Saccharomyces cerevisiae S288C: one gene and its partners. The gene in region 2 interacts genetically with the main gene of each other region. Each region holds a gene or a part of one and is shown on either strand. Other genes may lie near its edges.

Evidence for each region.
Region 1: mutations in DPI8 (region 2) and DAP1 together harm fitness more than expected from each alone (negative genetic interaction), as found in Saccharomyces cerevisiae (one large-scale study listed by BioGRID).
Region 3: mutations in DPI8 (region 2) and YJR149W together harm fitness more than expected from each alone (negative genetic interaction), as found in Saccharomyces cerevisiae (one large-scale study listed by BioGRID).

What each region holds. Positions count from the first base shown.
Region 1 is NC_001148.4:226,777-229,438, reverse strand, and holds DAP1 (Dap1p), read right to left. Parts: upstream 1,126-2,662; coding exon 667-1,125; downstream 1-666. Other genes in the region: MEX67 (Mex67p), read left to right, coding at 1-400; OYE3 (NADPH dehydrogenase), read left to right, coding at 2,068-2,662.
Region 2 is NC_001142.9:159,100-161,990, forward strand, and holds DPI8 (Dpi8p), read right to left. Parts: upstream 749-2,891; coding exon 524-748; downstream 1-523. Other genes in the region: sphinganine kinase LCB3, read left to right, coding at 1-318; MRS3 (Fe(2+) transporter), read left to right, coding at 1,520-2,464; YJL132W (uncharacterized protein), read left to right, coding at 2,815-2,891.
Region 3 is NC_001142.9:705,293-708,964, reverse strand, and holds YJR149W (putative nitronate monooxygenase), read right to left. Parts: upstream 1,806-3,672; coding exon 591-1,805; downstream 1-590. Other genes in the region: DAN1 (Dan1p), read left to right, coding at 1-154; branched-chain-amino-acid transaminase BAT2, read right to left, coding at 2,091-3,221. UniProt on the Saccharomyces cerevisiae protein: Catalyzes the oxidation of alkyl nitronates to produce the corresponding carbonyl compounds and nitrites.

The DNA of each region.
Region 1 (2,662 bases), on a different chromosome or scaffold from region 2:
AAGAGCGTATTCCACAGGCGCTTGGAAAACTGCATCTATTGCAATAGCACAGCCTCCACAGCAACAGGCCTCGGTCCTACCACAGGTCGCAAGCATGAACCCAAATATAACGACACCACCGCAGCCACAACCTTCAGTGGTACCAGGAGGGATGAGCATTCCCGGCGCACCCCAAGGAGCCATGGTCATGGCTCCCACTTTGCAACTACCTCCAGATGTCCAGTCGCGGCTAAATCCCGTACAACTCGAGCTGCTGAATAAACTACATTTGGAAACGAAATTGAATGCAGAATACACGTTTATGTTGGCCGAGCAAAGTAACTGGAACTATGAAGTTGCCATAAAGGGTTTTCAGAGTAGCATGAATGGCATCCCTAGAGAAGCATTTGTGCAGTTCTAATGATATTGTTCCCTGTTTCAGCCGCACAGTATCACAAAAAATATACAGTTTAAGCTACTGTTTTCGTCACGTTCCGAACAGCAGCATGCTTTGTATATTTTGTACTAATTCATAAATAAGTAATTATTTCTATACAACCGTTATATAGAAGATTTTTTCAAAATATAGATATGTATATGTATACATATATCATCGTCCACCACGCCCCTTCCTTTTTCCCTTTCCTTGGTGTTTGCTATTAATAAATAATGTGCGGAGCTCAATCGTCATACGTTCACGCCAGGCTCCGGAATCAGAGTACCAATGCATGGGTACTTATTCTCAAAATGCTCTTGCCACTCATCCAGTGCGTCAATCTGTTCTTTTGTCAGATCATCTAAGGGATCGATAGGCTGATCCCAATCTTTAATAACGTCCAGATCGAAGGAGTTCAATGCAAGACCACGCGACGCATCATGGCCTGCAAAGTTAGTGTATGGCCCGCTTGGACCGTAAAACTGCCTCCCTCTTGTGCAGTCGTATACTTTGCCCCTAATAGCAATAAATATTTTTTCATCGTCGTGGCCGTTAAATTTGGAAAGCGTCCTAGGAAAGAAATTACCCGCTACTACCGGTTCACTACCTTTATTAGAATCGTTTGTGTTTGAGGCCCCGTTACCTGTGAGCCCGGTTGGATCCTCACTTGTTTTAACACCTCCAAATAACAAGTTTTTAATGAAGGACATTTGTTCTCTATAATATTCCGATGTACGTGTGTGTGGCTGATGAGATTTAGACTGGTTAGACTATTTGACGCGTCTATTATAGCTTACTGCAACAAGAAAATGATCGTTGATATATAAACTCTCAGATGTATATATCGTTCTGGAAACATCGAGCATAATACAATACAATTCAACAAAAATGCGAGAAGGCACTGATGTCTTGTCGTTAAAGAACCAAAAACGCGGACACTACGACCGTCTTATTTCCGGTAGAAAAAGGGTACATACAGTTGAAGGAACGAAGAAAATTAAAATTAGAAAAAAAAGTAAAATAAAACAAGGAAGGTAGGGTAATATGGTCTCGTTTCCTTTGTCGCTCCGCAAATAAAGGAGCTTATTCCCGCACGCTCACATGGTAATTTGCGCCAAATCACGGATGTGGAAAACTGATCACGTGCTTCGATCGCCAACTACTGAGCGTCGTCCCACACTGATCTGGCACAGCTTACCTCGCCTTGAAAATTTTAATCTGTCCTGCTCGTTTGTTGTATATTGCTTCTTCTCAGAATATGCCCGCGATAACTGACAAAGAGGGTTCGACGTTTCAGAGATTCTACTCTTGACCACTGTTTCGTGTAGCCGCTCAAGGTTTATTTCTTTCTTCTTTAATGTTCTTGGCACTTAGGCGGCTCCGTCCTCCGTCTGAAATTGCCGATCCTATTATTTGCGGAGGGCTCCTTAGAAGGGCTCCTTAGTAAGCAGTTTGCGTTCCTGATATAACTCCGTTCAGAACAAGGATAAAGTCGCAATAACCATTACTAAGCACAGTGTTGTAAGTAGGACAACTCGAACCTATATAAGGGTTGTGAACTGTGCTTGATTCTTGCCCATCATATGCAAAAAAGTACGTACTTGATATATACAACAACTGTAGTTCAGTATAGCGAAGTTTAAATTTAGAAGATGCCATTTGTAAAAGGTTTTGAGCCGATCTCCCTAAGAGACACAAACCTTTTTGAACCAATTAAGATTGGTAACACTCAGCTTGCACATCGTGCGGTTATGCCCCCATTGACCAGAATGAGGGCCACTCACCCCGGAAATATTCCAAATAAGGAGTGGGCTGCTGTGTATTATGGTCAGCGTGCTCAAAGACCTGGTACCATGATCATCACGGAAGGTACGTTTATTTCCCCTCAAGCCGGCGGCTATGACAACGCCCCTGGGATTTGGTCTGATGAGCAGGTCGCTGAGTGGAAGAATATCTTTTTAGCCATCCATGATTGTCAGTCGTTCGCGTGGGTACAACTTTGGTCTTTAGGCTGGGCATCCTTCCCAGACGTATTGGCAAGAGACGGGTTACGCTATGACTGTGCATCTGACAGAGTGTATATGAATGCTACGTTACAAGAAAAGGCCAAAGATGCGAATAATCTCGAACATAGTTTGACTAAAGACGACATTAAACAGTATATCAAGGATTACATCCATGCGGCTAAGAATTCTATCGCGGCTGGCGCCGATGGTGTAGAAATTCATAGCGCCAATGGGTACTTGT
Region 2 (2,891 bases):
CCTAACTGTGGCTGGCGGTTAACCTTAGCCAGGCTGCTGGTGGGCCTACCGTGCGTTGTTATCTGGAAGTACGTGATCAGCAAACCGATGATCTACACGTTATTGATCAAAGTTTTCCATCTGAAGGATGACAGAAACGTTGCGGCAAGAAAAAGACTGGAGGCCACGCACAAAGAAGGTGCAAGCAAGTACGAATGTCCATTATATATTGGAGAGCCCAAGATTGACATTCTAGGTAGATTTATTATCTATGCTGGCGTTCCATTCACCGTTGTAATGTGCAGCCCCGTCCTATTTTCCCTCTTAAATATAGCATAAAACAAAAGGAACAAAAAAAAAAAAATAGACAAAATGTAGTGTAAATGTATCCGTTTCTAAATTAAGTACTTATAAAAAAATATGTAACTGAAAAAGTCATGTTGTATAAAAATTTGAGGCACCGTACCAGGACCCCAAAAGAAGAATAGGTTAAAGTCATCATCATTAATAAACCAGGAAAGAAAAGAGCATAATTAAGATACGCCTACAACTTTGGCGCGTGAGCCAAGTGTCTTCTGGTAGCTAGTGAGGCACTCAAGGGACCATATGTCTTGGCATTTTCTCTATATTCCTTAAAAGAGTTGAACGAGTTGCCCGGAGATCTCTTGAAAATAGTGCTGGCCATGGCGCTAGCGGCTATCCTTGAGACACCCGCGGAGGCGGCTGAAGAAGAGACGGCGGCGGCTAATCTGGTACTTTGGGCGATCATTTAATACGTTTATTTACTGTCTTATGAATGTAATATTTAAACTTGTGCGTAATCATTAAAACAAAGGTGAAAAATCACATTAAACATCTCCCTACATTACTTTCGGTTTATTCTTTTATATGTGTGAAACTTTCTCTCTGCACCAGGAAGTGGTCATGCTTGATGCTCGGCTCCCACCGGAAAAACTAACTTGCGGGCGGGAAATTGATCCCTGAAGTCATGCCCCTCACCTTCATTCGTGGATCTTATCTCCAGAGCAACCAAATGTGGAAATGGCATGACACCCCCCCACACACGTTCCGCCCACTTTTTTTCAAATGTGTGACACACCCATACCCCATAATGTTGCACGTGACAGGTTTGTATCACGTGCTTCTTAGGGTTTTGTTTTAGGTCTGAGACATTTTAGGGTTTTTTTTCATCAAGTCTAGATCGTTTGTAACGAACGATTGCTCCTTTTTTCTTTTTTTTTTGCTTTTTTTTTATACTCACCGTTTACTGTCATTATGTCTCTCGAGAAACTGGGCGTGTGTGCTAACCAAGACTGGATCACCTTTACATAGCACTTATTGCATTTCTTGGTGTTTCGTACCCTACAATTGACAAAAGTAATTTTGTCGTTCATTTCTTCATCGATTCTTTCCTCTTTCAACAACTTCCTTATTTTATCTTGGGATCGTAACTTCACTTAATTAATCACGATTCCCATATTCGTTAACACCTCTTAAGGTTTGCTGTAAATATATTTATGTTATAAAAAAAGAAGATATTATGGTAGAAAACTCGTCGAGTAATAATTCAACAAGGCCAATTCCAGCAATACCTATGGATCTACCCGATTATGAGGCGCTCCCCACCCACGCGCCATTGTACCATCAACTTATAGCGGGTGCATTTGCTGGTATAATGGAACATTCAGTGATGTTCCCGATAGATGCCCTTAAGACGCGAATACAATCAGCCAACGCGAAATCGCTGTCTGCCAAGAATATGCTTTCGCAAATATCTCACATCTCTACTTCCGAAGGAACTCTAGCCCTATGGAAGGGTGTTCAGTCTGTCATACTAGGTGCGGGACCTGCGCATGCAGTGTATTTTGGTACGTATGAGTTCTGCAAAAAAAATCTTATCGATTCGAGTGATACGCAAACGCACCATCCTTTTAAGACAGCTATCAGTGGTGCCTGTGCCACCACGGCATCTGACGCATTAATGAACCCATTCGACACAATAAAACAGAGAATCCAACTCAATACCTCGGCATCAGTATGGCAAACCACAAAGCAGATTTACCAATCTGAAGGTTTGGCAGCATTTTATTATTCTTACCCAACCACCCTAGTAATGAACATCCCATTTGCAGCATTTAATTTCGTCATATATGAATCATCCACAAAATTTTTAAACCCATCAAATGAGTACAACCCCCTCATACATTGTCTGTGTGGCAGTATCAGCGGATCGACATGTGCGGCGATCACAACACCTTTAGACTGCATAAAGACAGTACTGCAGATAAGGGGCAGTCAAACAGTTTCGTTGGAAATTATGAGAAAGGCGGATACTTTTAGTAAAGCAGCCAGTGCCATATATCAAGTTTATGGCTGGAAAGGGTTTTGGAGAGGTTGGAAACCAAGGATAGTGGCAAACATGCCGGCTACTGCTATATCATGGACAGCTTATGAATGTGCAAAACATTTCCTAATGACGTATTAGTTGGTTCTTACATGTCATATTATTTTCCATTCATTTTGCATCTCAGAAGATTATGTGTATATTATCATTTTCCTGTTGTGACTTTATGTACATTTATATATACAAATTTAATTTGATAATCCCAAAGCTTGAGCTCTTTCCCTCAACGAAAAGTTTTCATTTTTTCTTCATTACTTTATATATCTATGTTTAGTATACCCAAAGGGTATTTCGGACGCAGGCAAGCTGCCATTATTTATAGCGGAAACTCTAAGAGTGGTAAATCTATTTCTAAAAAAAAAAAAGATTCATTCAAGCGCCCTCCTTGGTTAGTTAGTTAGAAACATGTATTCAGAGGGAATTAAATAAAGATGAGTATAATTAGTTCTTGGTTACTTGTCTCTATTATTTGCTTAACTACTTCTATTGTAACAAAATTGCAAGCTGC
Region 3 (3,672 bases), 550 kb from region 2:
TAAGCCAGTCTCCTCCAAAGCTCAATCTACAGCTACTTCTGTCACATCGTCAGCATCTCGTGTTATTGACGTTACCACTAACGGTGCTAACAAGTTCAATAACGGTGTTTTCGGTGCCGCTGCTATTGCTGGTGCCGCCGCTCTATTGTTATAGTGATCATGTGCGGCCCTGTACAGTTGTATAAATGATGTAAAATAATTGAATTCTCTTAATTTTAATATTTATAAGATATATACTATAAGCGTAAGGAAATTCCAAAGAAATTTGTTTTTTAGTTTGCAGTCTTGTGCTCCAACTATTTCCGGTCCTTTTCGAATTTCATGTCAGGAGCATTCCTTATTGCAGACAGCTTAACAGAAAAAAAACTGTGAAAAAAATAAATACCTTTAGATATTAAAGCCCTAAATTGATATCAAATTTTTTCCATATTTGGATTTTGTATTCCTTAAAGCCCACATCCTGTGAACGGTTACGCTCAAATAATGGCCAAGTAACCTACGATCCAATAGCGACGTATATATATCATATAGAAAAAGGTCATCCAGAAAATTTGTGTCAATAAGTATCAGGTCTTTTATATGTATTTATATTATTTTCCGTCAATTTTCAATCTTGCGCCCATAGTTTCAATTTTCTTGTCTGTTGTGATTCCTGATTGGACATTCTGAAATCCTTGTCCAGCTAAAATAAAGTTAGCCAATTCTGGATACTTTTTTCTTACTTGCTTGAAAGCACTATACATGTAGCCATATGGAGGAAGCTCCTCACCTTGAAAATTAGCAATGACTTTTTCGATAAAAGGAGTAGAGATGGTCCTTGCAGGCTTTCCTGATATTATATTAACCATTTTAGTTGTTGTTTCTCGAGTGAAGGGGCTTGAAAAGTTTTTTGATGCATTGGATTCACTGCAACCAAGAAAAGCAGTCCCCACTTGAACAGCGTCTGCTTGCTGTGATAACATGTATGATATATCTTTGGAATCCATTATACCACCTGCTGCAATGACAAAGGGAGTAGCATGTATAAGACCTTTATTTTTCATTTCAGCAAGTTCATCAACTGTTCTTTTCACCAATTGTACAGTTGATAAGTTTTCATCATCTTTGGGGTCATTTACTAAGAAATTTCCTCTATGTCCTCCCGCTTCATAGCCTTGACACACTATGCCATTAATGCCGAGACGTGCTAACAATCGAACTTCTCTTACAGAGGTGGCAGTCACAAAAATTAGAATTCCAATTTTTTGTAAATATTCTATTGTAGATTTCGACGGATGGCCAAAATGGAAACTAATGATTTTAGGCCTAAAGCCATCTGATAGGTACTGGAAAAAATCTTGAAGAGCATTTTCTTTTTCAAATGCCTTAAAAGATACATTACCATTATCGAATTTAATCTCATTCATATCAATCGGCACATTCATAGACTTTCTGTATAGCTTCGCCCAGTTAGCTGTTTGAAGATCGGTCGGTTTATCAACGATATCATGGCAAAAAAAGTTTAGGTTGAGATTGCCCTCTAAAGATTCATCGGCTACTTGATCTCTGAATTGTGAAACCATCAGTTTAAGCTTTTCAATATCATTGACCTTTCTGAAGTCTAAGTGGGATAGGGGTAGTGAAGCTATGGCGCCCGCAATACAAGCCTTAGCGGCCATTTCAATAGTCGTGACCCCCGCCATAGGGGCCTGGATGATAGGGTATCTCAAGTTTAAACATTTTTGGAAAGATCTGCTCATATCTTCTCTTTTATCCACCGACATTACGGAAACGTCTTGAAATATTAGTTGGTTTAAAAAGTACATGAATTGTCTTGAGTTGCTTCTAAGGTATGTATGGGCCCTTTTCTATCCGCGCAAAAGATGTCCTTGATACCGATAGGCCAGCACTAGATGACAAGAAAAAAAACGAAAGGATAATTGCAGGTTTCGACATACATTTTTTATCAGATCACTGCAAAATCCAGGAATTCATATATACAATGTCAAAGGGTATGTTATATTCTGACATGACCCCTTAACTCAGTAGAAAAAACGCTCTAGTTTTATTCTTTTTAACTTTTAATTACTTTACGTAGCAATAGCGATACTTCAGTTCAAATCAGTAACAACCCTTGACCAATTGCCATGCTCAGTCTCGCCATATTGGATTCCATTAATCCATTGTGCAACTTCTTTGGCCAATGGACCGGTTTGTTCGCCGGGCAACAACGGAATATTAATTTGTTCGCCTTTCCAGCCGATTTCCTTAATGGGAGAAACAATCGCAGCAGTACCAGAACCAAAGGCTTCAAGTAGTTCACCGTTCTTGGATCTCTCAGTAACTTCGCCTATAGTGAAGTAGCGTTCACTAATGGTCCATTCACTTGGTTCGAGTCTTTCTTTAGCAAGATTTAAAATGGAATCCCTAGTAACACCTTCCAAAATGGTACCGTCTAGTGGAGCAGTAACTAGTTCCTTCTTGCCCGTTTTACTATCTTTAAACACGAAAAAAGCATTCATGGTGCCGACTTCAGTAATGTTGTTATTTGGACCAAATAGCCATAAATTTTGTTGGTAACCCCTTGAAGCAGCTTGCAATTGTGGCAGGACGCAGGGGGCGTAGTTTGCACCTAGTTTCTTGTCACCACAGCCTCCTGGCCAAGCTCTTGTGGCATAATCAGTGGCTTCCAGTCTGACCGCCTTAAATCCAGTTTTGTAATAAGGACCCACAGGGCAGCAAATGACATATAGCAAGGCTCTATCAGGCGTGGAAACCCCTAAACCGGCCGTAGTGCCGATTAATGTAGGCCTGATATATAAAGAGTAACCTTTTCCTTCAGGAACTAAGCACTTATCTTGCTGGATCAGTTTCCCAATTAGGGTAATCAACTCTTCTGGGTCGAACGTTGGCAAACAGATTCTCTGAGCAGACTTATTCATGCGCTTCATATTCATATCTGGACGAAACATTGTAATTTTGTTGTCCACCGTTCTGTAAGCCTTCATCCCTTCGAATAGCTCAAAAGCATAATGGAAAACCACCGCGGAAGGGTCTAAAGACAGATTTTGATAAGGTTTAATCTCTGGGGTACCCCACCCTTTTTCAGCTGTCCATTCCGCAGTTAACATGTGGTCCGTGAAGCTCTTGCCAAACACTAACTCACTGTTCGGTTTTGGCTTAGATGCATGTTGTGTGGTAGTTATCTTAACTTTGGAGGCGTCTAGGGGTGCCAAGGTCATATCGTTCTTAAAACTCGTGGAGATGCTTTCCCTTAAATTTCTAAAATTTTAGTAGTTAGTCTGTTTTTATTAAGGATTTCTCAAAGGAATGAATTTTTTCCCAGGAAATAGTCGAATATCTTGTAAGCTTATATTAGTTATACTGTCAGCTCATTTCGGATCTCCTCTCACTCACGTACGGCTCTTAATTTCTACCTATTATTTCCGTTTTTGTTGACAGAAAAACGGACATAGAAGAACGACACCAAAAAGAAAAAGAGTCGGATCTACAGATTAGATAACAAGAGGTGTCAGAGAGGGAAAAGAAGCTAAATTAAGTGTCACCCGAAAGCGGAAAAAGAACGCCGTTTGCAAGAATGGTTCCGGGGCCAATGGAACATTAAACTTTGGTGTAGTGCGGTCACAGAAAAAAAAAATCGTACACGTATATAGTGGTATGCTAGGTCGTGAA